Sus scrofa: one gene and its partners. The protein of the gene in region 1 interacts with the protein of each later gene in a biochemical or structural test. Links are inferred from orthologs where the notes say so. Each region holds a gene or a part of one and is shown in the gene's direction. Other genes may lie near its edges.

Region 1 (3,500 bases):
TTTAATGAAGTCCTGTGCAAAACAGCAGAGAAATCCAGACTCCTTGCAACAACTTCAGGAGTGTTCTAGAAAAGAATGAAGATGACCAAAGGGGTTTGGCTTAGTTTACATTCCACAAATTTCATAAAATCCTTTTCTCAACAAGCTGAACTCTACTTATCAGGAAAACAATGAGGCCGTTGATAGAGCAGCCAGAGGAGAATAACAAAGAGTTTGTGTGGACTGAGCTAGCTGGGTGGTGGGAGTGAAGAAATTATGGAAATGACCAAAGGTGCAACCCAGTTTCAAACGGAAAGATGCCCGCAGAGAGTTGGGCAAACAAGCTTATGTTTTAATCAGCGCTTCAATTAACTTGATAATGTCTTCAATTTTTCCTGTGTAGATTAAGAATATCTTCAGATAACCAATTCCATTATATAAAGGCCACAACAAATACCACTTGAGGTCAACTAGAAGGAAAAGTCATCACAATCATTTAATTCAGACCGCCTGATGGCCTGGCTCTAAAGTTCAAACACAGAGGAAGGGAGTAAAGAAAACATGTTTAGAGCCCATGTGCACACATACTCTGCAGATGTTACAAATGAAAAGTGTCAAAATCGAGGATTCATGGTGGGAAGCCATTAACTACATTAGTGCCGAGGCTATGTTACCTTTTGGTTGTCCTTGGACTGGGTGGAGGAGATTCAGGGCTCTTCTGAGAGGCTTATTTAAGAGTTGCCAATGGGGCTGTGCCCAGAAGGGCTCATAGACCTATTAGGGAATGCACCTCTGCAAAATATCAAACCTTAGTTTACAAGTTAAAAGATGACTGCAGAAGTCGCAGGAAGGGGTATCCAGTTACCCACTTCATTCTGTGAGCAGAGAGACACCCTATTTCTTCCCCCAGACGGAAGGGCTCTCCCACCCTAGTTATTACTGAGAGCCTCTCTGCCAAGGTCCTTCTTCACCTTCCTCCTTAGCCTGAGCACCAGAGTATGAGAAGGATGCAGGAGACAGAGTGGAGGAAAGAACTTGACTCTTGAAATCTAAACCACTGGGTTATGACATGTTCACCTCTCTGAGCTTTGTTTTTTGTTTTTTTCTTTATAGGCCACAGATGCAGCATACAGAAGTTGCCAGGCTAGGGTCAAATCAGAGCTACACCTGCTGGTCTACACCACAGCCACAGCAACTTGGGGTCAGAGCCATGTCTGTGACCTAAACCACAGCTCACAGCAACACGGGATCCTTAACCCACTGAGCGAGGCCAGGGACCGAACCCCCATCTTCATGAATACTAGTCTGGTTTGTTAACTGCTGGGCCACGATAGGAACTCCTTTTTTTTTTTTTTTTTTTAACCTATTATATTAATCTAAGGTCCTGCTTCCAAAGAGTCGTAAAGTGAAATTCAGTGTGGTGTATAAAGCTGAGCTGAGCTTTAAAGAGTAGTCAACTACCTTCACTCCTCTGGAGCCCCATAGCCAGCAAGGAAAATGTCCTCGTTTCCCTGAAGAGTTTCCAGCGGCATATGAAGACCAGAGGCAGTTTACTAGCCAGGGGTTGTTAAATGCGGTGTTTTCTGAGGCAAAAAAATCCAACCTGATGCTTAATCACCTTTTCCAGAACTCTTTTGATTAAAGGGTTTTTTTTTGTTTGTTTTTTTTATGGCCACACCCGTGGCATATGGAAGTTCCCAGGTTAGGGGTCCAGTTGGAGCTGCAGCTGCTGGTCTATGCCACAGCCACAGCAACGCCAGATCCAAGCTGCATCTGCGACCTATACCACAGCTCACGGCAATGCTGGATCCCCGACCCACTGAGAGAAGAACCCGCATCCTCATGGATACTAGTCAGATTTGTTTCCACTGAGCCACAACAGGAACTCCTGATTATTAATTTTTAACTTGAGAAAGAAGTTTGTGACTGGGCCCTGAGAGTGAGGAGACTTGAAGGTCAAGTGCCTGGGGAAATGACAGGCTTCCATTGTTCACATTTTGTCCCTTCTCTGTCTCTATCAGCTTGTACCTACAAAAACCAGGAGTGCCGTTTGACCATCCATTATGAGAATGGATTTTCTGTTACCACTGAACCACAGGAGGGTGCCTTTCCCAAGACAATCATACAGGCTCCTTATGAAAAGCTGAAAATGTCTTCAGATGATGGAATCAGGATGCTGTATTTAGATTTTGGAGGCAAAGATGGAGAGCTCGTAAGTGTACTTTTCCTTAGTTTGATTTCATGTATTTCATCATGCACCACACGTTGCTTGCAAACATAATGCTTATATTTATTTAGCATTTGACTGTTAACAAAGTACTCAGACAGGTTCATGTCATATTCAATCCTTGAAAAACAGTGATCAGATCTAATTTTTTCAGATCTGTACCTTGGTCTCATTTTTCATCAGAATACTACAGAAATATGTGAATCAAAGATAAGGATCCTTTACAAAGCCTTAAGTTCTTCTCAAAGAGAGTCCCACCAGCCTCAAAAGGTACCTTTAACTGTTTAAAGGTCTCAAGCATCTACTTTAACCTGGGCATTGTGCTAGGTGTCAGACATGCAGGGGTATAAAGTGCAGGGTCTCAAAGCCCTGGCCAGCTGGGAGTTCTCAGAGGATCAGAGACCTTGAAGAGGGCGGGGTGGAGGTGGAGTGGGGTTGGGGCTGGACCAGGAGCAGAGCAAAAGGGGCAGTGAGGAAACCAAGCAAAAATGGTCCCTCCTAGGGGAATGGAGAGAGGGCCAGACAGGGGCCCAGGAGTTTTGAGAGCATGTCAAAATGTGTCCAACAAAATCAGCCAGTTGCTCAGTTAAGGTAACATTTATACTTCTCATAGCAATGCAAATTGCCCATGTATTTATAATCATGATTTCCTGTGATCGTGACTGCCAACGCTAATGAAGGAGTTCCCTTGTGGCACAGCAGGTTGGGGATCCAGTGCTGTCACTGTGGCCTGGGTAACTGCTCTGGCAAGGGTTCGATCCCTGGTCGGGGAACTTCGGTGTGCCATGGGCACAGCCGAGAAAACAAAACTATGTTATTTCAGTTCCACTGAAAAGTGAAGCTGCACATTCTATTTCCTGGCAAGTGTCATTCTCAGGAAGACACAGCATCTCATATAAGCCGTGGAATGTTGAACTTCAAAGAGGACTTGATTCGGAACAACTAGTCTCTGTTTAGGTCCTTCCTAGTCACTGGCTTAGTCAACAAATAATTATTGGCTCACATTTGCTAACAGAGATGGGGGCTATATGAAATACAGAGATCAATCGCAATTTTAAAGATCTAGTCATTTCACCTCAGCTACTAGCCTTGCACAAGACCTCCTCCTCTCAGTCCCCGCTCTCTGAAGGAAGGGGTCAGGGCCACGCTGAAAAGAGCAAAGGGGCCTTTAATCTCAAAGTTTCAGCACCCCCGTTTAAGATCTTGCAACACCACTAGCCCCAGTGTGGTACCACATTTCTTCCTGCGGGTATCGCAGGCTGTCACGATGAAGTCGGTGCCCGGCAGCTGACAG
Region 2 (3,500 bases), on another chromosome or scaffold:
AGTCTTAAAGACAGCCTAGACTGCTTTGCATTCTAATGGGACACTAGCAAAGGGACCTGTTTTTTTTTTTTTTTTTCTGTCCTAACGTTTAGGACTTCCTTATAAGATGGGATAGGTGAGACAATAAAATATGAATATGTAGAATAGATGTTTTGATTTCAGCTGAAGTCAAAGGAGAAGCTCTAGCATGTGTTAACGTAGAAGTTTCTTAGGATACCGACTCAACTCTTTTATCTGTGCTGTATACATTCTTCCTCTTTGGACCAATATGTTTCCTCTGTATTTTTCCTTTAATCATCTTCAAGTGTTGATCTAACTAGATCACAGGTTATTCTGCTTCTAATTATCATATAACATGTTGTATGCATATTTGTTATAAATTATTATAATCCATTGTTATAAAGTAGATTTCCTTTTACTATGGCATTTGGGAAAGAATATGAACTGAGAAAACTGAACAATGGCCTTTAACTCTGTCTGTTCAGATTCTTACTCCACTTTTATTTTCTCTTATTTTTGTAGGTGAAAGAATGAATGCAAATCATTTCACAGTTTTATTTCCTTGTTTTGTTTTTCTCTTCCTGGGGTCTAGCTGACCTTCATGCCTTTCTCTGAGATTACTAATTTAAGTCCTTCTGTTTACATGAGATAACCTGATACCTTTCTCTGCCCATGTACTATAGATTCCCTCTCTGGTTGATATTTCCCACTTAACAAATGAATTTTGGTAAACAAAATAGTAATATTGAATGGACATGATTATGGAGACAATTTTATAGTTGCCTCACAAATTCTTTAAAGATGAGGGAAATCATTAAGGAAGATATATTATTCATGATAATTACAACACATGGAATAGGGTATTGAAAAGAAAAGAGTATAGCTAGCTTAGCATTTAAAAAGTTAGTGCTTCAGGGGTTGAGGGAAAGGAGAAATGCATAGGTAGAGTAGAGCACAAAGAATTTTGAGGGCAGAAAAAATACTCTGTATGATACTATAATAGTGAGCACAGAGACTATAATGGTGAACACATGTTATTGTACATCTGTCAAAACTCAGATGCTCAACACCAAGAATAAACACTATTGGGTGATATTGATATGTCAGTGTAGGTTCATTGGTTGTAACTAACATAACACTGATGCACAATATCGATAGTTATGAGGGGTAGTGTGTGTGGGATACAGGGGGTACTTGGAAAATATCTTTATATTCTGGTCAGTTTTGCTATGAATCTAAAACTGTTCTAAAAATAAAGTTTATTAAAAACAAACAACAACAGCCAAAGTTTATGCTTATTGACATCTCAAAAGCATCATGAACATACTAAATTTTTCTTTCTTTAACTCAAAATATATGAATTAAACTATTTGAGTAATTGAGGTTCTCAAAGGGAAATACCTCTCTTGCTGCACTCACTAGCTACCTCATTTGATAAACATTACAAAAGCTATAAATTCAATTACTTATGCTGTACTTCATTAACTTTTGGTTCCATTTGTCTCTAGGTTTGAAGTTTGAGGAAATTCAAGAAAGATTTGGTGAGGAGTTCTTTAATATATGCTTCGATGAGAATGAAAGAGTTCTTCGAGCTGTAGGTGGCACGTTGCAGGACTTTTTTAATGGCTTTGATGCTTTATTGGAACACATTAGAACTTCTTTTGGAAAACAGGCCACTCTGGAGTCTCCGTCATTCCTATGCAAAGAGCTCCCTGAAGGTACTCTTATGCTTCACTACTTCCACCCTCACCATATTGTGGGATTTGCAATGCTTGGGATGATTAAAGCTGCAGGAAAGAAGATCTATCGGCTGGATGTAGAAGTTGATCAGGTTGCAAATGAGAAACTGTGCTCAGATGGTTCAAACCCAGGCAACTGTAGCTGTCTTTCTTTCCTTATCAAACAATGTGAAAATACTAATATCACGAAGAACCTTCCACAGGGAACCTCCCAAGTTCCTGCAGACCTGAGAATTAGCATCAACACCTTCTGCAGAGCCTTCCCTTTCCACTTGATGTTTGACCCCCACATGTCAGTCCTTCAGCTGGGAGAAGGACTAAGGAAACAGCTCCGATGTGACACTCACAAAGTGCTTATGTTTGAGGACTGCTTCGAGATCGTTTCTCCAAAGATTAATGCCACCTTTGAAAGGGTCCTGCTGCGACTGTCTACTCCGTTTGTGATCAGGACCAAGCCTGAGGCTTCTGGCACTGAGAATAAAGAAAAGGTAAGTGACTTGATGTGGGTGGTGGGAACTAGGAGATTACATAATTGTTTCAGTAGATAACATGCTGGCAGTACTTGTAATTATTTAGGCAAGAGAGCTTAGTGTGCCATTTAGAAAATTACTGGCCCCTGGACATATCAAAAAAGATTTGGATTTATTCCCAGCCATTTGCATAATCCCTTTCATTAATTTATTTCATCATATAAAAAGAAGAAATGTATTTTTACTAGCCATAGTAATTATAAAAATGATAGGACTCACTAACAACCTGATACTGTAAATCCATGAATATTTCCATTGATTTAAGTCAAACTGTGACAGAAATGGTAAGACTGATTGCAACATTGTGGGAAGGATAACCTAAATAAATGTGGGTAAAACACTAGCTATACTTTGAATATGTTATGCTCTAAATTTCATAATCTAGGAACATATGGTTTATATCCTTTTTTTTCTTAAGGTGCAGAATAATGTATTTTCTAAAAGTTAAAAATTAAGTCACTATCTTAAGACTTCTCTTCTGATTAAACTTTAGTATTGATAAAAACACATTTCTTGAGAATATGTTCATTCTTTGAGAGAATACAGAATACACTAGGATTATTCTATCATTCAATTTAGGAAATATTAAAGCTGTTGGTTTTGTTTTACAAAACTACAATATTCGGCTTGGAGAGATTTGGCCTGAGAACTGAAGTTAATGTTTTTGAAAATGTGCCTGAAGTAGAATATATTATTACCAACTGTTAATTGCTTTATACATTTTGTAGATTTGAGAAAAATTAATTCAATTTGAAGTTACTGCTTCAGATTTTTCCTCCTATATTTCATCTGGCTTGAATGTCTATTTAATTTGTATACCATGGTAAGAAATAGACACAATGAAATGATGACTCAAATGCCAAGGCCCCCTGCCAGTTACAATAATGAGGAACTGTGCTCATTGAGAAGATGCAATTATAATTTAAACATGTTAGTGGCAGTTTAAAAATAAAGCAATAGGCAGGATTTTTAGTTAGAATAAAGATAGCAATCCTCTCATCCTGTTTACGTTTCTGCTTATTCACCTGGGTTTGCCAGAATAGGAAATTTGGGAGCCTACAATTGGTCCAAACAAAATTACAGTCAATAAAGTTATGCATGGAATCATAACCAGATGAATAATATTTTTGAACTATTATGTTGCCAAATTCCAAATTTATAATTTCCTAAAATATGGCAAGAAGAAAATCTTGGTTAAAAATTTTGATTCTGTTGATAAATTTGAATTTTT
Region 3 (4,273 bases), on another chromosome or scaffold:
CTGCTTTTTAATCTATTGTTGAAAGATTGGTAACTTGTTTGTATTTCATTTCAAGAGAAATTAAATAAAATGCATTACCATATTTTTCAGTAATGAGATATTTCAGAGTGAAGAAATAAGTCAATAGCTTTTCTGGTTTAGTAAGTTTATGTTTTAAATATTCATATCCTGCTTTGTTTCAGGACGACTTCAAGGCTGCTGATATGTTTACTGTTCAAATATCAGGACAGTAATAATCAAGCCTTTAAAACTGTGGGTGAAAAAGCCAGCAAATTTCAGTCATCTTTTATTTATGTAAAGAGATTGTATGTCATTTTACTTCCTGTCCCTTTTCACAGGAACTTTACATATGGACTCTCCTCTTACTAGGAATCTTTATATTGGGAAGCTCTGCGTGAGGTTGAAGTTTTTATGGGGGAACTTGATTAAAACACAGTTGTCTTTAAAGGCGGGTTTGCCACATAAGGTTAGGGGTTGCCAATAAATCCATTTATAGCAACTTCTGTATTCCCTGCTCCAGACACATTATCTGGGTGACCGGTGCACGATTCCCACAGGCCATGCAAGGCAGCAACAGTCTTAGCTGATCCCTCCGTGACCAAGGCTGATTTAAAGGGCTTCGGGTGTGGACTGGGCCGAGCCCCCCAGCCTGAATTGCTTGCCTGGGATCTTGGGGGGACTCCAGAATCTTTGGGCCCTATCCTGGTTTTCCTCTGCTAGGGTATAACAATACATTTTAGAAACTTGGTAATTTAATTTACTGCTGCCAACCGAAACAATAATAGCATCTTTGTGTTTCTCCTACCTCCATACCTCCCTCCTCCCGCCGATACAAGCACGATGTTGGCCCTGCGTAAATACAGCACAGAACAACACAGGGCCACCCCAGAGCGATTGGAGGCTCTGGGACCTGGTCCCAGGGGCGCAGGAGGCAATCACGGGCTCCTGAAAGTCCCTAATTCGCATTTGGGAAAGAAAAAGACACAGCAGGCGAGATGCCCCTTACACCTTCCATCTGCCTGAACTCAATCTTGCTCCAGAAAGTGAATGTTTGAGCGCGCGCGCGCACGTGTGTGTGGTGTGTAGTTAAGTGAGGCAGAGAAAATTCAAGAAAGCCACACAAGTCACCCTAAAGCATCCACCAAAATTTCAGCTTGGTTAATTGCTCCCATATGTCCTCCTCCGCTGCTTTCAAAAAGCAGCAAGGAGGGGGGAGGCCGGGCCACTTCACTGATTTGTAGAGGTTGAAAAAAAGATTATCACCCATCTTGATCCAATCCTGGAGGGGCCTAAGCGAAGCATCGGGGGCCTAGCCCCACTGGGGGAAGGTCGGGGGTGGGGGGACCCTATAGAAAGTTCGCGCACCGCACCCCAGCGGGTCCCAGGAGCTGCCGCAGCCCAGGGCTGGGAGGGGCGCGGGAGGCGCGGCCCGGGCGGGCGCGCGAGAGGAAGGTGCCTTCGGGAACACGCGCAAGGGCGGGGATTCGCGCTGCCAATGAGGCCCGGCTGTGGGCTGTGCGAGGAGGGGGGACGGGCGGGAGCGCAGCCTTAGCTGTGGCAGCTGCGGGAGCAGCGGCCGCCTTGGGAGTCGGAGGAGAGGTAGCCGCGGAGCGCAGAGCTGGCCGCGCCCCGAGGCCCGGCCCTGGGGGTGGGGAGCAGCGCGGAGGAGCTGGAAACTTTCCCTGCAGGTAACTCCCGCCGCTCTGGCGCCGCCGCCGGGCTCCGCGCGTCCGGGGCAGGACCAGCTGCTGCAGTGCAGAGGGGAGCTGGGGGTCCCGGGAAGAGGAGAGGGTGATGGGGAGAGTGGAAAGGCATGTGGGAAAGTTTCTGGAGCCTCCCTGCCCCCCTTCGCTGGGCACACCCGGGAGCTTTCCGGGGATAGGCACGGACATGTTGGGCGCTCCGGGCCTTGGTCCTGGCGTCTCTGGAGAATCGGTGCCTTCTTTTAGCTTCCCCACTGCGACGGACCGAGCGGGCCCCGGGTGGAGCTGGGGTTCGGGGGCACTGGGAACGCGCGGCGGCACGCTCGAGTTTCGGGATCACCCCCGCCCGGCGCGTCTCCGCGCCCCCCTTCCCGCCTCCTCTGTAGCCTCTGGGCTTGGCAAGGGCCTGGCTGCGCCTGGTACCTGGGGCAGGAGAGGCGGGGGAGAGGTGCGCCTGCCACCGTGGGGTCCAGGGCGCCCCGGGAGTGTAGGTGAGCGCGGGTCGCGAAGTTGACGCGTGAACTTAAACCCCAGCAGAGTTGAAAGTATTGCTTCGCTTCCAAGAACATTGCGATGAGTATATCCACGTTTTTTGGGGGAAGGGGTAGGTGAATTAGGATTAGAGATTGAAGGAGAGTTGGAATTGTATTAAGGTTATGTACCCTCCCGTTCTTGGAGAGTGAAGCGTGCTTACTTCTTTTGGGAAACATATATCGGGGGCAAGTTCTTCCTGCAGGACTTTGGGGTGCGGGCGCGCCACGTTGTGGGTGTGAGGGGCTCCCGGCTTTGGCGCTGGAGCTTTCCGGAACGGCTGGCGAGGAAGGAAGCCCTAAGGCATTGTGTGCGGTGTTTGCCGACAGAGACGTCGCTAGACCGGCGTTCTCAAAACTTACTTCACTTATTGTGTGAGGCTCCGGGAGGAAATGCGGCGGTGGCCAGGTAGAAATACGGCGCTGCGCCCGGGGGTTCGGAGGTCACCCGGCTCCGTGACAGTCTTTCCCGTACCAACTCCCTCCAGCCCACCCTTGGCAGCCCCAGATCCCGGTGCCTCGAGGGATGGTACTCGTCTCGGTAGCGCCCTTCCTTGCTGGAATAAACTCGGGGAGGTTAGGAGGGCACCTTCATCTTGAACTTGACCCTAGAAGAATCGAAGTCTGGGAAGGTTGCAAGATAAAGGAAGCTGAATCTTCCCGTGGGATGGGCCTCCCACTCTGGCAAGGAAAGGAAGTGCCTGGTTTAGGATCTTTGAGGAATTGGGTTTAGGACTGCTGAGGTCGTTAACTTGAAATGCCAGACCCTCAGGCTGCAGAAGTTAATCTGTTTGTAGAGATGGGAGAGGAAAGGTGAAACCGGGTTGGTGGGTACAGAGAGTTGGTATTTCTGTGTAGCAGCCATGAAGGCAGTCTGTATCTCTGCTTTCACCAGGTCCGCTACTCTCTCTCTTTTTCCTTCCTGGGTCATCTTTAGTCCTGCCAGGCTGGCACTCCTAGGGTGGGGGAGGGGAAGGAGAAGAAAGCAGTTGGGAAACTTCCTGGCCAGCTTGGAGGTATTTAAGATCTGCTACTCTGAGGATTCCAGGATTTTAACAGCTGCTTCTTGATTGCTGGGAATGAAAGAATTTACGAGCCATCCAGAGATGTTCATTATAGTGGTAGTCTGAATGTTTTACCCATCTAAGCTTCTTAAAGATCTCGCAAGGGACCTTCAGTAGAGTATGCCAGTTTGTGTCCACCAGAATGCTTATTGGGTGTCAGAGCTCATGGTAAATATATCCTGGCGGTATTAAGATGAAAAGTATGTGGGAGTAAAGGAAATATGGTATCTGACATCCTTCAGGACTTCCTCCTAGGGTTGCTCCTGTTACCTGCCAAGTGAATTCAGTCCAGGCTTCCGGACTGTTGTGATTTGACAATAAGAGATGGGAAATAGTGTCATCGATTTTAGTGGAGGCAGGAAAGTCCAGAAATAAATTTCAGGTCGCTTTCCATGACCCTGTCTTTCAGCTGTGATGCCACAAATTTAACTTTTGCTGGGACTTGTAAGCCGTGTTTTTCCTGCCTCTTTGGTTTAACCACCAGAATGTCTAAATTATCATAATTCATGTCCACCGTGGAACTAAAACATAACCCATTCATAGTCAGCCTTTTTCTGTTTCCCATAACAGCCTGTAGAAAAAAAGAACATTTTGTCTCTTTAACCACACACAATTTATCTGGTGCCATAGTGGGTTTTTGATAGTGGGTGACCAAGGATGCAAATGTAAAGACAATGGAATTTTCTCTGTTAAATTGTTCATTTTTAGGCAACATCTCCCTCTGAGTTGCTGATTAATTCTTTATCTTTTGGGCAACATTAAAATCAGTATCCCTGGGCTGGTAGAGCTGTAATCCATATTATAATGATGCCTGCCATCATAGCTGGAGGTTAATGTTATGTTGATGTTTCCAGTAGACATTTTTAACCCGATTGTAAAGGTTTTTGTCTGAGTTGGGTTACAAGTAGATTTTGAGTCTCATAGTCAGAGATGGCTTTATTTTTTATCTTTCTGTTGAAAAGTTTAGTTTAACTTG
Region 4 (3,500 bases), on another chromosome or scaffold:
ATATGAGAGGTGACTCACAATCTCGAGGATGCCATTATAACTAAAATCAAGTAAATATGCTGGGAAAAGAGAATGAACGATCACATACTGAGATAACTGGTGAACTATGAAAAAATAATAAAACACAGAAAGTACTGAGAAAAAAATGACCCCATCATGTAATGCTTTTTTAAAAAGCCCCTTCATTTTTCTATGAGGATAGATTCCTGTCTGTTAAATGGAAATCCCACTACCAACCTAGCTCATTAGTACATTTCAGTATTAATAGTAATAGCATGATTTGAATATTAGTAAAGTTCAATCAATAGATATAATGATTTTAAGATTATTTAGAAATGTGTTATTTGTGATTTTCGAAATAACTGAAAAATAAATTCTCTGGTTATATTTCTAAGTATTTGGAATATAGATATGATAAAAGCTACAATAGTTTAATATTATGAATTAACAATGAAAGGTGGTTTCATTTTCTTTGTGCAAAAGCAGGAAAATTATACAATAAGGACTTAAAACCCTATGATGATTTTTACACTTGGATAATACAACAAAAAAAGTAGTTACCACATAAGTGCTCTCTGGCATTCTTTAGTATTCTTCTAGATTTATTTTATTTTCAAGCAATAAGACATTTGGCTAGTTTAAAAATACAATAATGAAATTCAATAATATGTAAATTCAGATTATTTAGACAACTTTCAAAGACCGAGTGCTCTTTTCAGCTGGTTTAACCAGTGTTTATAATTTATCTCTTTCCTTTTCTTTGTTCCTTAAGTATTCTACTTTTTAAAAGATGTTATTTCCAGTGGTCATATGCTATAAATCCACTGTGCTGGATTTACTGATGACCAAAGAGAAGCCAAATTTAATAGACAGATGACATAGATAATTTTTATTGTTTCCAAGAAAGCAGAAAGTATTACAAAAGCTGACTGTAAATATACTGAAGACATACAAATCTTTTCAAAATCATTCTTTGACAAGGTATGGTATTTGGGATCAATTTAAACAGCTAACATCTGTAGAATATTTACCAAAGTATATTTGTCAAAATTAACATTCAAAAAAAAAGTGAGGGTAATAGTTGCCCACATTGTTATTTCTAATCTGCGACTCATCGCCTAGGAAAACAGTGCTCTTATTTTATTTTATCATTTTGCCTTTTTGAATTTCTGAAAGCAAAGTCCTTGGGTATAACTACGGACGAATTAGAAAACTTCAGAGCATATTTTCACTAAAGATCTAAAAAGGGCATGGAGAACACTGAAAATATTGTAGATACCATTTGACATTAAACAAAAATTAAACCCCTGTGTTTGTTTTCATAGGTAGCGTGTAGTTTTTTTGGTAGGTTTTCTGATTTAGTGGCAAATTTAGCTTTTATTTTCAACATTATCTTACCAGCAGAAAAATATTTTCTTTTTTCACTATTTCCGTTGGAAAATAGTCACAGATAGAATGAGAGTAGTAAAAAGAAGATACTGAGAAATAGTGGAGATTACAGCTAAAAGCCAAACAAGCAGCCTCATTCTACAAAGAAACGCTGATGTTAGGGAACCAAGATATTTTCAATTTAATTTCAGTTGTATTAAGGTATATGTGATCATTTCTTCCACAACGGGGTGGGAACTCTATACCATAAAGCTAACAGTTGTGTTCCTAAGCATATCCAAAAAGTCCCTTTCTTTTAGTAAAAGTAGTATACCATCCAATTGATTGGGAGCATTTCATTGCTATGAAGACTTCATAAAATGTATCATTCATGTATAATCATAGACAGTGCCAATTTTGAAAGCACATTATAATTAATTGCTTAGAACCATACAATTTCTAATCCTACAAGCTGAGAAAAAAGATCTCTGCTAAAATATTAAGTATTCTCAATTATTAAAAGTAGAGAGAGTTCACATTGTGGCACAGCGGAAACAAATCTGACTAGTAACCATGAGGTTGTGGGTTCCATCCCTAGCCTCGCTCAGTGGGTTAAGGATCCAGCAGCATTGCTGTGAGCTATGGTATCGGTTACAGATGCAGCTCGGATCCTGCATTGCTGTGGGTGTGGCGTAGGCCAGCGGCTGTAGCTCCGATTCAACCCCTAGCCTGGGAACCTCCATATGCCGCAGATCCAACCTACACACACACACACACACACACACAAAATGGAGAAATTCTAAAATACACCTACTATTTAATGCTCTAAAGTTCATCAGATTTAATATATGGACCTTTTAACCTTTGTTAAAAATCTTGAATGTTTTAGATTAAGAAATTATCCTATATTAAGTGATGATCTTATCACTTATCTTAGAGATCTGATTGAGATTACCTTTTATTTTTTGGTTGGAACTTAACTTCTCATTGAGTAATTTCTGCTTCCATAAACAAATGCTTTCAGTTTTTAGCCCATAACAAAGTTGCGTACCTCACTCCAATTTGGGGGTAAATTTTCTGATAACTTTATATAAGTACGAGAGTATTAAAAAATTTGTGAAAAATTATATAGTTGTATTACAACTGGAAAATATTATTTTGGTAAATGTTAAGAGTGATCTATGAAAATGGAAATATGGTTTAAATCATCATTTCATCTTTTAAATAGGTTTCTTGAATTTCAAATAGAGGAGTAGAAATGCCACCACCAGCAGCAGGCTCCCCACCACCACACCCACCTCCTGATGGAGGATGGGGCTGGGTGGTGGTTGGAGCATCTTTTATCTCCATTGGATTTTCATATGCATTTCCAAAAGCTGTCACAGTCTTCTTCAAAGAAATTCAGCAAATATTCAACACAACCTACAGTGAAATAGCATGGATATCATCGATTATGCTGGCTGTTATGTACGCAGGAGGTAAGATTCATTGGACTAAATAGAATTTTGATTTAAGAAAACAATTCTTCTATGCCACTGTGTCTTAGTATATTAAAGCCCTTTCTTTGTGTGATAGTCACTTAAAACCAAGTATAATTAGGACTGAATTTTTAGTCATTTTACTGACTCAACATCTTAAGCTATTCACTTCATTCTTTTTTAAAAATGATTTTTATTTTTTCCGTTATAGCTGGTTTACAGTGTTCTGTCAGTTTTCTACTGTACAACAAAGTGACCCAGTCACACATAAATATATACATTCTTTTCATTCTGAATCTAACTCAGGTATTTATATTCAAATAAGGATGTCTTGGCACCAAGATTTATTAAATTATGGAATTTTTAAGGGAAGCATTTTTCCATTTAATTTGGAATGTAGTCTGTGCTATAAAGTCAGTATTATCAGCTACTATTGCTACCATTAGTAGGAATACTTTTTTCTTAATGAAAAAATAACAAAAAAAACCTCAAGTTACTGAAAATCTATAAGCCTAGAAAGCAATTCACTTTAAGCGGCACAAGTGGAGTGTTATCATGTACATTCTGGATCTGTTCAAGTTTGTGTGAATAAAGTAATTCCTTATCCATGCAGTACTTATTAAATATTCCATTTTTAATTTAAATGGTTGCCTG
Region 5 (3,266 bases), on another chromosome or scaffold:
TGTGACAAGAGGGTATCATTTTGCCCATTTTGTAAGTGAGGAAACTGAGGCTCTGGGAGCTTAAGTACAAGTCTCATAGTTAAACTGGCCCCAGAGTCTGTGCCCCTAACTTGTGTGTGATTGGTTGCTGCTTTGACAGCATCTGTCCTCTCATTTTCCTATCCTTCCGGTTCTTCCTCTCATTTTTAAAAAATTTTTGTTATGGTTGATTTACAGAGTTTTGTCAATTTCTGCTGTACAGCAGAGTGACCCAGTTTTTTATATATATTTATGTTCTTTTTCTCATATTACCTTACATGATGTTCCATCACAACTGATTGGGTAAAGTTCCCTGTGGCTATACAGCAGTGGTCTGCTAATTTTTAAGGGATTCTTAACAGGCAGTGGCTGTATCTTAACATCCAGCATGTTGGTGGGGTTCAGCCCCAGAGAGGCTGGGGTTACTACGGCAGCAGCTTCCATTTTCCAAGCCTTGGGCTGCATATTTCTGGTACGTAACTCATGTGCTCCTTCCTGCAACCCTGAGCGCTGAGCACTCTTAGCCCCATTTTACAGGTGAGAAAACCAAGGGCTAGAGAGATTAAGTGACATGCCAAGATTGCACATCTACTGCTGGTAAAGCCAGGATTCCCACTCTGGCCTCTCTGCCTCCTGACTGAAATCACAGCTCTGCCAGAGGCCAGCAGGGCCTGTTGACTCAGTGGTTGCGTTTGGCCTGCACACGTATTTTGTTTGGCCTGCACAGCATGGGTGTCCTCTTGTTTGGGATTTGGCTTGGTTTGGTCATTTGTCTTTGGGAACCTGGGCATGGTGACTGTCAGCTGGAGTGAGCAGCAGCTACCCTCTGAGCCTGTTGGCATGTCTCCACTGGGGCTATGCAAGAACCATCTCATAAAGCCAGCTAACGTGAGACTCAGCTGATCCAACCTGCAAGGTCTCTGCGTGTTTCAGGGTGTGAGTCGTTCGTTCAGTGCACAAAGTTCACAAAGTGCTTGTTCTGTGTGAGGCCCTGTGCTGGGTGCTGGGGTGAGGAGGGCTTCCCCCGATAGATATGGTGACTTATGGCTGAAGGAACCCCCCTGTCCCCCGGCCTGAGCTTGGGATACTTGAGCACTGTAGTGGACAGTGAGGCTGGAACAGATCGCCAAGCCTTCCATATCCAGATGGGGACCTCAGGCTTTATCCTGCAAGTAGTAGGGAGCCACTGAAGGTTTTTGACCACACTCAGGGAGGCCCCGTGAACTCATGGGAGGAGGAACAGAAGGGTGAGGACAAGTTTAGTCTGGGATGTGTTGGGTTTGAGGGCCTATGGAATATTCAGTGGTTGTCATCTGGTAAGCAGCCATAGGAGCCCGGACTCAGAGATCTGAGAGTTGTCAATAATTAGCGAGAGTTAGAGGAGTGACTATGAATAGAACCATGGAGAAGGAGAGGGGGTGGATGAGAAGTTATTAGGGTGGCTTGGCCTCCTCTGGTTCCAGATGATCAAATGGGGCCTGAGGAAAGTCATTTGCTTAAGGCCTCAGTAGTAAGCGTCATTCATCCATTCATTCAGCAGATTCTTATTGAATGCCTCCTCTGGGCTAGGAACTAACCTGAATTTCCGGATACAGCAGTGGGCAAAACACCCACGGAGTCTGCATTCCGGTGGGTGGATTCAGAAAACAAGTAAATATCCAATGGTGGTCAATGCTGTGGATAAAGAGAAAGCAGAGTGAGGGGACTGAGGAGTGCTGGTCCGTGATTGCTGTTTTATACAGAATGGTCCAGGGAAGGCCTCACTAGTAAGGTGACATTTGAGCTGCAACCTGAAAGAAAAGAAGAGAATGAGGCAGCAGGTGCCTGAGAGAAGAATATTCCAGAAAGAGGGCATGGCAAGTGCAAAGGCCCTGAGGCAGGAGGGAGCTTGGCACATTGAAAGAAGAGCAAAGAGGCTGGTGTGGCCAAAGCCAGCCCAGGGAGAAGAGTGGGAGGGACCAGAGAGTGCATGAGGTGTGGGCGAGGGGCCAGGGATTCATCAGGTGGGGCCACCAGCCATTGCAGAGACTTTTCCTCTTAAGAGGGGAACCCTTGGAGGTGACATGACCTGACTTACATTTAACAGGATCACTCTGGCTGCTCTGTTTAGAATAGGCTGTGGAAGACAAGGTGGGGAGCAAGGAGACCAGTTAGGGGGTGGATGCTGTAATCCAGGGGAGGGATGGTGGTTAGGCTGGGGTCAGAATGATGCTGCCAGTAGAGATGCTAAGAAGTGGTTGGGCTCTGGATTTTTTTTTTTTTTTTTTTTTAGGGCCACGCCCACGGCATGTGCGGCATATGGAGGTTCCCAGGCTAGGGGTGGAATCAGAGCTACAGTTGCTGATCTATGCCAGAGCCACAGCAACACAGGATCTGAGCCGAGTCTGCGATGCTCACCACAGCTCATGGCAACACCAGATCCTTAACCCACTGAACAAGGGCAGGGATCGAACCCGCATCCTCATGGATCCTAGACAGGTTCATTAACCACTGAGCCATAAAGGAAACTCCCCTGGATATATTTTAATGGTAGAGCCAGCAGAGCTTGCTGATGGGTCGATTGAGGAATATGAGCGAAAAAAAGAGGAATGGAGTGTGACTCTTAAGATTTTGGCTCAGGCATTGGGAAGGGTGGAGTTGCCATTGGGTAAGACTGTGTGATGGGCAGGTTTGAGGAGTTGGGTGTAGACAGGTGGAGTTAGCACTGCCTCACAGACATTGACTTAAAGGTTTCAGGTTGGCAGTACCAGTAGCGCTCAGGCCCCTTTTCAGCCCCTACCTCTCCTTTTAGATTCTGGATCCTCCATCCCAACCCCTGTGTCCATCTTCTAACTCTCCCATCCCTGGCAGTTGCCCTGGGCTGCTGGCAGCCTGCCAACATTGAGAATTGACCCTTCTGCCCCCAGGTTGTGCACAGGGACCTCAAGCCCAGCAACATCCTGTATGTTGACGAGTCTGGAAACCCTGAGTGCCTGCGTATCTGTGACTTTGGCTTTGCCAAGCAGCTGCGGGCTGAGAATGGGCTTCTCATGACACCTTGCTATACTGCCAACTTCGTGGCACCTGAGGTGAGTGGCCCAGCCCCCTCAGCTGCAAGAGCAAGGGGGCCTGGTACAGGAGGCCAGGGTCCCCTCCAGAGGCCCCATACCATCCAGGACTCTAGTCTCTGTGGCCTTGGCCCAGGTAGAATCAGCCCATGCCTGGGACCCTTGTCCTACCCTTTGGGGAGCAGCAAGCAAGCATATGGG
Region 6 (3,500 bases), on another chromosome or scaffold:
TCAGCCAAGGCCATTGTCCTGGCCGGTGTCCTCTCACTGTTTCTCTGCCTCTCCAGATGTCTGCTTCTCTGTTGCTTCCTTACTTCTCTCTCACTTTCTCTCTCTTTCAGTAAGAACACACCAGCTCATTCACCCTTCCGAAGCCAATGAGAATAACCACCTCCCTATGTGGCCAAGATCCGGGTCCAATTATGTGATAATTGGACGCTATCATTTCATTGTTTCCAGAAAGTTTTAGCAAGGCCTTTTCTCAACTCCCGTGTCTGTTTTGCCCTCCTGTGAATTTTTGATTCCTTTTAGAAGCATCCTTTTCCTGGACCGCTTTGGTACTTTTCATTCAGTCTTAGCAGTAATTTCCACTTGATTTTTACTTCAACACTGAGTTTCACCACAAACCCAAATTTAATCTTCCTGTTCTTTTTCAGATTGCTGGCTCCCATCTGGTAACTGACCCCTTAACTGTGACTTTTTAAAATGTTAGCTGTTTGGAACAAAACTAGCATTTGTGCTTTTGTCTGTTTGTTTGTTTGTTTAATCGCCTGTGACTTGGCAAAGATTCAGAATCTCTAGGCTTTCAAAATGGTATCACCATTTGTGTTGGTGCAATGGAAGGACTTCCCATGACTTCATTTATTCACATTTCATAAGCCTACATTGTAGTCACTTGAGGGAGGAATATTAAGCAGGGTTGGCTTTAACTGAAAGTTCTCTTTTGTGTAGCCCATCACGCTCCTGATGGAATCTTCCGATGCCATGAACCTGGCCTGCTTAACGGCTGGATACTACAGGCTGCTCGTGGATTCCAGAAGGTCCATATTTAACATGGCCAACAAGAAAAGCACAGGGGCCCAGGAGACAGGTATTCTTTCCCAGCTCGTGGAGCGCTGACCTCCCTTCCCCTTCCCACCTGACAGCAATAATAAGCATACTTTTTACAAAGTTAAAATTGTACCCATGAAAAGATCGCCTGTCCAAATTTAACACAAAAGCCTTCAAACACATTTTTTTTTTTCTTTTTAGGGCCCCACCTGTACCTATGGAAGTTCCCAGGCTAAGGTCGAATCAGAGCCACAGCCTCCACCACAGCCATGGCAACCCCGGCTCTGAGCCGCATCCGTGACCTACACCGCAGCTTGCAGCAACGCCAGCTCCTTCACCCACTGAGCAAGGCCAGGGATTGAACCCACATCCTCATGGAGACTAGTTGGGTTCTTCACCCGTTGAGCCACAATGGGAACTCCCTCAAATACTTCTGATATGGTCTAATTTCTTTTTAAATGACAGTGTTGATTTTTTTTTTCCACCCCTTTTTGGCATGTCGCTTGGCAATGTCAGGTACATGCTTCTGGAGCAGTGATTTGCTTATTGTGAAGGGCGTGGGCATCAGCCTTCATGGCTGAGTTTTTACTGCCTGACTTTTCCCGAGGTCTCTCAGGGCACAGAGAACTAAGACTGGAACACCCAGTAGGAGTCGTAAGCCCCCAGCTTTAGGGCTTGTCCCTCCTTAAGGTGCCCTAGGTCCAGATGCCTGGGCGCCCCCTCCTACATCAGATTGACCTCCAGGATTTGGGGAGCTCTACCAACAGCAAGACTTGGGAATTACCCAGCCCTTGAACTTGGGACTCTAGAAGGGTCCCTGGCAGCCATCTTAGCTCCGTGGCGGGAGCATCAAGATGGCAACAGTCCTATACTTCATCTTAGCTACCTGACAGGAAGAAATAGCTCCAGAGTGAGGAGGAGGAGGAGGGGGCTGCAGCTGTTTAACTGATGGCTTCATTGAGGGTGAGTGGTTTTCATTTGAACATTTTGCTCCATCTGCAGTGCACCCTCAGCAAATGTGGCTGATGGACGGATCCCACCATTCAAGCCAGAGCTACTGACACATGAAAAAAGTATAATGGGGTTCCATAATCCAGGTTTCCTTTAAAAGGAAGGGAAATTCTTCAGAACAAATTCCATTGTCACTGTTTGTAAGAGAAGGTGGGGGGGGAAAGAAGGGAAGAAAAATCCTCTACTTTTGCTTTTTAATTTTTTAAAAATTTTAAAAATTTTATTGAAGTAGAACTGATTGACAATATTAAGTTAGTTTCATGTGTATAGCACCGTGATTCAGATACACACACACACATACACATACATATATTCTTTTTCAGATTCTTTTCCCTTGTTGGTTATTATAAAACACTGTGCTATACAGTAGGTCTTTGTTGGTTATCTGTTTTATATACAATAGTGTATGTGTGTTAACCCCAACCTCCTAATTTATCTCCCCCCACTTTCCCCTTTGGTAACTACAAATTTGTTTTCTATGTCTGTGGATCAATTTCTGGCTTATAAATAAGTTGATTTGTGTCTTTTTTTTTTTAAGATTCCACATATAAGAGATATTGTATGATATTTGTCTTTGGCTTACCGAATTTAAGCATGATAATTTCTAGGTACATCTGTATGGCTGCAAATGGCAAAATTTCATTCTTTTTTATGGCTGAGTAATATTTCATTGTATGTAAATAATATACCATATCTCCTTTATTTGTTCATCTGTTGATGGACATTTAGGTTGTAGTTCCTTACAAAACTAAAAATAGAGTTTCCATATAATCCTGCATTCCCACTCCTGGGCATATATCCAGAGAAAACAATAGTTTGAAAAGACTCATGAACTTCAGTGTTCATAGCAGCCCTCCTTATAATGGCCAAGACATGGAACCAACCTAAATGTCTGAAATGTTTGCATGTAGCCAAAAACATAAAGCATTACTCCATAAATACATAGTAATATGTAGCCATGCCCACACAGAGACAAACGGGTACACAGTTTATTATGATGGCTGGTTAAGTGGAAACACTTGCAGTCAAAGGGTAAAGGAAAACCAGAGAGAAGAGAGGTGAGCACGGCGTGCCAGAAGGCAACCCTGACTTGGAACTAGATTTTATCCAGCCCCACCTTGAAGTGCCTTTTGTGTCTAAGTGACACAGATGAATAATAAATCAAGAAGGACCAAAAAGGAGGTGGTGAGTGTGTGCCAGGTTCAGTGGTGATTATTTCTGTGGACCACATTCTCATTGAGTGAGGAGATGTAGAGCGATTTAACTCTGACCTTCGAAATTCCAAAGACAATTTAACACCATTCTTTCCCATTGGAAAATCAGTTTTAGGCTTTTGATTTTCAACTCTTAAAGTTCATTGTGAAAACCAAACCTTTTCCCCTTTTCCCCATGGACTGCTAAGATTGCACATGTGCAAGAAGAAAACCAAAACAACCATTCTAAAACAGTTACAGTAATAAGGGCCTCAGTTCTGTCCAATTTATCGTGACTCACAAGGTAATGTTTAATAAAGTTTTAAGAGGCAAAAACTTGGTTCCAAAAAGTATTCTGTCACCACAGGGAAAGAATGAAACTTCAATCTTTCAGTACTTTGCCTCAGTTCAACAGTGAGAATGAAGGTGATGGCATATGTTCCAGATAGTACACACGTGCGCATGTGCATACGTGTG
Region 7 (4,285 bases), on another chromosome or scaffold:
GACACAGCTCGGATCTGGCATTGCGGTGGCTGTGGTGTAGACTGGTGGCTACAGCTCCATTCGACCCCTTGTCTGGGAACCTCCATATGCTGTGGGTGCGGCCCTAAAAAAACAAAAACAAAACTTCCTTTTCTAACTACTTGTCAGTGTGAAGCAGAATTTTCTTCATATACTTCAACCAAAACAGCACATCACCACAGATTGACTGCAGAGGCAAATATTAGAATCCAGCTATCTTCTGTTAAGCCAGACGTTAGAGATTCACAGAAATTAAAACATCCCACTCTCCTCGCTGCTTTATTGTTTCAGAAGGTATAGTTTGTTTTTTCATAAAAGTATGTTATTTATATTAATAGATAATGGCTTTATGGTTTTTAAACAAATTAATAGTATTTTAGACATTTCTGAGTTTTAATTTGTCATAATGGTAAATATTAATAGCTATAACCCCCACAAACAAAACCATTTGAGGGAGTTCCCACTGTGGCGCAGCAGGTTACCTGTCCGCTATTGTCTCTGCAGCAGCACAGGTGCAACCGGGATCTTCTATATACTGTGAGTGTGGCCAAAACAAACAAACAAAACTATTTTGGGATCTTCAATGATAAAAAAAAGAGTGTAAGGGGGTCCTGGGCCCAGGAAGTTTGAGAGCTGCCATGCTAGATAGACCCTAGGGGCCAAGAGTATGAACTGTGGGGTGGCATTCTGGGCAGTTTAGAGGTGACATGGGCTGGCCTCTCCTGGATCTGACAGGCCCCCTTGGCAGGGCTGGGAAACTGGGGACCCAGAGGCTCTGCTCAGCCACTTCTGAGCTGCGGGCAGTCAGCCCTCCACGAGCCTCAGGACCTTGATGTTTGAGCTGGGACTGAAATGCCTGTTGCATAGGGGAGTACAAGCCTCCTGTCTGGCAGTGCTTGTGAAAAAGTGCTTTGTAAGTTGTGAAACACTCCACATATTTATTTTTGTGGTTATTTTATCTGGAGCCCGGGCTTAGCTGTCTCACATGCTCTCCTCAGACCCTGGAAAACCTATCTAGTGGGTGTGACAGGCTGTTGGGTGACCCCCATAGTTCCCACCCCCCCATCGCTGAGGCAGGGGCTGTGCTGTGACAGGTGCCAGGTGGAGGGGAGGCTCCTGGGCTGCTGCTCCGCTTGGCTCTGAGGACTTTGGGAAGAGAAGCCAGGAGGCAAGGCTCGTGCGCGTGTGGTGTGTGCTGCCCGCCCACTGCCGCCTGCTTGCACTGCTGGGAGAGGAAGTGCAGTCGGTTACCAATCGGGTTATTTTCATAACGGCTGTCTCAGGCTGGGGGGAGGAGGGTGGCGAGGGGGAGGGGGCAGAGGAGCAGCCACAGCGGCGGCTCACTCTCCAAACTAGGACTTGCTCAGCCAGTGGCCAGCAGCCCGGAGCTGGAGCCAGAGCCGGGGCTCGCCCGCCCACGGGGACCCCAGCCCCCACCTGCCGCCCTGCCTTCCAGATCAGGTCAAAGGGGCTCCCCCCAACCCTCCCTTGCCTTCTGCTTCCTCCCTCCTGCATCTGTCTGGGTGGGTCTGGGGAGGAGGGGGTCCGGGTGGGCCCAGGCACCACCGTCCCCAGACGAGGCTCCTGAAGCTGATGGAAAGGGACCGGGAAAGAGGAGGCCCACCGAGCTCGGGACCCCGAGCCAGGCAGACCCCGTCGAGGTTAACACTTACTGGCCTGGTCACCTCCTTCACTGTGCAGCTCTGGCCCACCTCTCCCCACTGTGCAGTGTGGTTTTGTTTGGTTGGGTTTGGTTATGGCAGGCCCCCTGTAGTGAGTAGAGACCTAGGAACTCTGCCTCGCCAGCCCCCCGGCAGGCCCCCCCTTCCAGCCGTCCCTCAGACCTGGGGCAGGGGGAGCAAAGCAGCCAGAGGTGGCTTCTGACCAGCAGACCCTGGGGAAGCAGCACCAGGCCCTGACCACTACGCATCATTTCCCAGGCAGAGGGGCGTGTGGGGCGCTGCCCACAGCATGGGGTGGGCACTCCAGCCGAATCCCACAAGGTGACCTGAGCGAGCACCTCTGGAGGCAGAGAAGTCCCTGGGAGCCAGGCCTGATGCCAGAGGCAGAGGGCCCTCTCAGCATGAGCAGATACCCAGATGGCTCTGGCTGCCAGGCTCTCTTCCTCATGTGGGTGGTGGCCGTCCGGGGTACTCCTGCTTCCCTTTCTGGGTCCCCACCCCCACTGTGGGCAGAGACAAACCCCAAGAGGTGGCACAGTCTGCACACCCTGGCGCTGCTGTGGGCGTGGGCTCTGCCGTGCCCCTCCTCTCTGCCAGGTACCTATTGTCAGGTATTTTATACCAGAGTCTTAGCCGAACCTCCCTTATGTCAGACCTTCCAAACTAGGTAGTATCGTCCCCATTTGGCAGGTAAGAAAATTGAGACTCAGGAAACTTTGTCGATCAGCCCGGGGAAAGCAATGGCAGATGTAGGAGTCCAAAGCCCGCAGGCTTTTCCACTTGAAACTGAAATGGGGTGTGAGACAGTCTGGTGGGCTGGGAGGCCAGGAACCCTGTCCTTTTAGCCAGTAGCTGATGAAGCTGGGGCCCTCGTGTCCCCTCACCCCAGCAGCTGCCTTAGCCTTGCCGCTGCAGCCACACTCACGGCTGTTCATCGAGGGCGTGTGGCCAGACCCCTCCACCCCCCCGCCCGCATGTGTGTCTCCCCATAGCATCCTCTGTCCTCCCCAGGCTCCCATCAGCGGGCCCCATGAGTCCTTTCCCGCCCTGTCTCCTTCGGGTGTAAGAGGCTTCCCCAGTCCCCCACCAGGAGGCCGAGGGGCAGCCGTTTTGCTCTGCCGTTGGTGTCGGAACCCTGTGGGGCCTCCTCTGATGACCTTTGCACGTGTGGTATGTGGTATGTGGAAGGCGAGGGTGTGAGGTGAGAAGGAGCCGCCCCTCCGAGCTGCGCTGTGGGAAGAAACTCCAGGCCCAGGCAGAGGAAAGGCTGGGACAGGCCTGAGGCCAGGCTGGGCTTCTGACCAGACCCCGGAGAAGCCTCAGCAGAGATAGGAAGTCAGGAGTCAGGCAACTGCTGACCAGAGGACAGAGGTTTCTATGGCGACCTGGGGAACAGGAAGCATGGGGCCCGGGGAGGGAGTGTTGGGAGCATGGAGGCGTGGGGGCCTCCTAGGAGAGCTTGTCATAAAAGGTCCACTCAGCCAGCCAACAGCCTCCCTGGGCAAACGAGGAAACTGAGGCCTGTGAGGGAGGGGCTTTGCACATGGTCACCCAACCCCAGCCCAGCCTCACCTGCCCAGCTGCCCACGCATCGAGGCAGCCAAGGAGAGCTCGGGCCATGCGCAGGCCAGGGCACGGGGGGAGCACCTATACGCTGCCCCCCCACCCCCCCACACCCATGTCGTGAGGGAGGGTACGGGCCACCTCTTCCTCCTGGTCCCTCTTGTGGGCATCCGTCTGGGGCAGCAGGCAGGGTCCAGCCCTCCCCGCTGCCCATGGTGAGCCTATCACCCCCCCCCCCCCCGCACTGACTGTGGCCTTTTGTTTTCTGAGTGACACTCGCATCAGGTGGTGTGTTCGGGTGACTAATCTCCTCCAGGCTGGGCAGCTGTCACAGGGCGGCCTGACCAGGCGGGTGGGGAAAGCCGACACCCTGGGGGAGCACTGGCAAGCCGGTGCCTTGGCAGCAGTGGGCAGCTGGGCCTTCAGCTTCCTCTTCCCGGGTGCAGAGCAGACCCCATGTCAGGCAGACCTGGGATCAGGTCCTAGTCCTGTCACTGGCCAGCTGTGTGACCTTGGAGCATGTTACTGTACGTCGTCAAGCCTCAGTTTCCTCGTCTCTGTAATGGAGCCGTTGGTCCTGCCTGCCTCTTGGGGTGGTGGTGGGGATCAAAGAAGCTGGCACATGAGAGTGCTTAGCCCAGGTGTTGGGGTAAAGGGACCACTACTGCTTTATTATGGCTCCCTTCCTGCCCCCGTCCCACCTGAGTGCCAGCTCCTGGTCCAGGAGGGCAGCCCCTGCTCTCCCTGTATCTCAGGTGCAGGCTTTGTCCTCCTCAGGTGGAGGCGGGTTCCAGCGCTGGCTCCGCATCGACCAGCTATGCACCTGAGCAGGTTACCTCCTTGCACGTCCTCAGGAACTGAGCATGATGTGTGTTCTGTAGGGTGCTGCGGTTTATGAAATGGCACACGTTTGTAAAGGGCTCAGTGCAGTGCCTGACACGTGTGGGCGCTCCGTAAATGTGAGCCTTGATGGTACTGATTTTCGGAGGGAGCCAAGAGCTCTCCTGCCCTTCTCCCTGTCA

The links.
Region 2: the proteins of SNTB1 (region 1) and GUCY1A2 interact in a test that uses a peptide from one of them, tested with the Homo sapiens proteins (2 studies listed by IntAct, with this or other methods). The link is inferred for Sus scrofa from reciprocal best matches to the Homo sapiens genes SNTB1 and GUCY1A2.
Region 3: the proteins of SNTB1 (region 1) and TANC1 interact in a test that uses a peptide from one of them, tested with the Homo sapiens proteins (2 studies listed by IntAct, with this or other methods). The link is inferred for Sus scrofa from reciprocal best matches to the Homo sapiens genes SNTB1 and TANC1.
Region 4: the proteins of SNTB1 (region 1) and SLC16A7 interact in a test that uses a peptide from one of them, tested with the Homo sapiens proteins (2 studies listed by IntAct, with this or other methods). The link is inferred for Sus scrofa from reciprocal best matches to the Homo sapiens genes SNTB1 and SLC16A7.
Region 5: the proteins of SNTB1 (region 1) and RPS6KA1 interact in a test that uses a peptide from one of them, tested with the Homo sapiens proteins (2 studies listed by BioGRID and IntAct, with this or other methods). The link is inferred for Sus scrofa from reciprocal best matches to the Homo sapiens genes SNTB1 and RPS6KA1.
Region 6: the proteins of SNTB1 (region 1) and FRMPD4 interact in a test that uses a peptide from one of them, tested with the Homo sapiens proteins (2 studies listed by IntAct, with this or other methods). The link is inferred for Sus scrofa from reciprocal best matches to the Homo sapiens genes SNTB1 and FRMPD4.
Region 7: the proteins of SNTB1 (region 1) and DGKZ form a complex in vitro, tested with the Homo sapiens proteins (2 studies listed by BioGRID and IntAct, with this or other methods). The link is inferred for Sus scrofa from reciprocal best matches to the Homo sapiens genes SNTB1 and DGKZ.

Annotation. Positions count from the first base shown.
Region 1 is NC_010446.5:18,515,756-18,519,255, forward strand, and holds part of SNTB1 (beta-1-syntrophin), read left to right. Parts: intron 1-2,000; coding exon 2,001-2,191; intron 2,192-3,500. UniProt on the Homo sapiens protein: Adapter protein that binds to and probably organizes the subcellular localization of a variety of membrane proteins. May link various receptors to the actin cytoskeleton and the dystrophin glycoprotein complex.
Region 2 is NC_010451.4:62,206,081-62,209,580, forward strand, and holds part of GUCY1A2 (guanylate cyclase soluble subunit alpha-2), read left to right. Parts: intron 1-1,508; coding exon 1,509-2,227; intron 2,228-3,500. UniProt on the Homo sapiens protein: Has guanylyl cyclase on binding to the beta-1 subunit. Isoform 2 acts as a negative regulator of guanylyl cyclase activity as it forms non-functional heterodimers with the beta subunits.
Region 3 is NC_010457.5:65,918,695-65,922,967, forward strand, and holds the start of TANC1 (protein TANC1), read left to right. Parts: upstream 1-1,473; 5' UTR 1,474-1,688; intron 1,689-4,273. UniProt on the Homo sapiens protein: May be a scaffold component in the postsynaptic density.
Region 4 is NC_010447.5:24,810,509-24,814,008, forward strand, and holds part of SLC16A7 (monocarboxylate transporter 2), read left to right. Parts: intron 1-2,596; 5' UTR 2,597-2,626; coding exon 2,627-2,846; intron 2,847-3,500. UniProt on the Homo sapiens protein: Proton-coupled monocarboxylate symporter. Catalyzes the rapid transport across the plasma membrane of monocarboxylates such as L-lactate, pyruvate and ketone bodies, acetoacetate, beta-hydroxybutyrate and acetate.
Region 5 is NC_010448.4:83,941,157-83,944,422, forward strand, and holds part of RPS6KA1 (ribosomal protein S6 kinase alpha-1), read left to right. Parts: intron 1-2,924; coding exon 2,925-3,086; intron 3,087-3,266. UniProt on the Homo sapiens protein: Serine/threonine-protein kinase that acts downstream of ERK (MAPK1/ERK2 and MAPK3/ERK1) signaling and mediates mitogenic and stress-induced activation of the transcription factors CREB1, ETV1/ER81 and NR4A1/NUR77, regulates translation through RPS6 and EIF4B phosphorylation, and mediates cellular proliferation, survival, and differentiation by modulating mTOR signaling and repressing pro-apoptotic function of BAD and DAPK1.
Region 6 is NC_010461.5:9,426,039-9,429,538, forward strand, and holds part of FRMPD4 (FERM and PDZ domain-containing protein 4), read left to right. Parts: intron 1-720; coding exon 721-859; intron 860-3,500. UniProt on the Homo sapiens protein: Positive regulator of dendritic spine morphogenesis and density. Required for the maintenance of excitatory synaptic transmission. Binds phosphatidylinositol 4,5-bisphosphate.
Region 7 is NC_010444.4:16,148,771-16,153,055, reverse strand, and holds the start of DGKZ (diacylglycerol kinase zeta), read left to right. Parts: upstream 1-1,485; 5' UTR 1,486-4,285. UniProt on the Homo sapiens protein: Diacylglycerol kinase that converts diacylglycerol/DAG into phosphatidic acid/phosphatidate/PA and regulates the respective levels of these two bioactive lipids.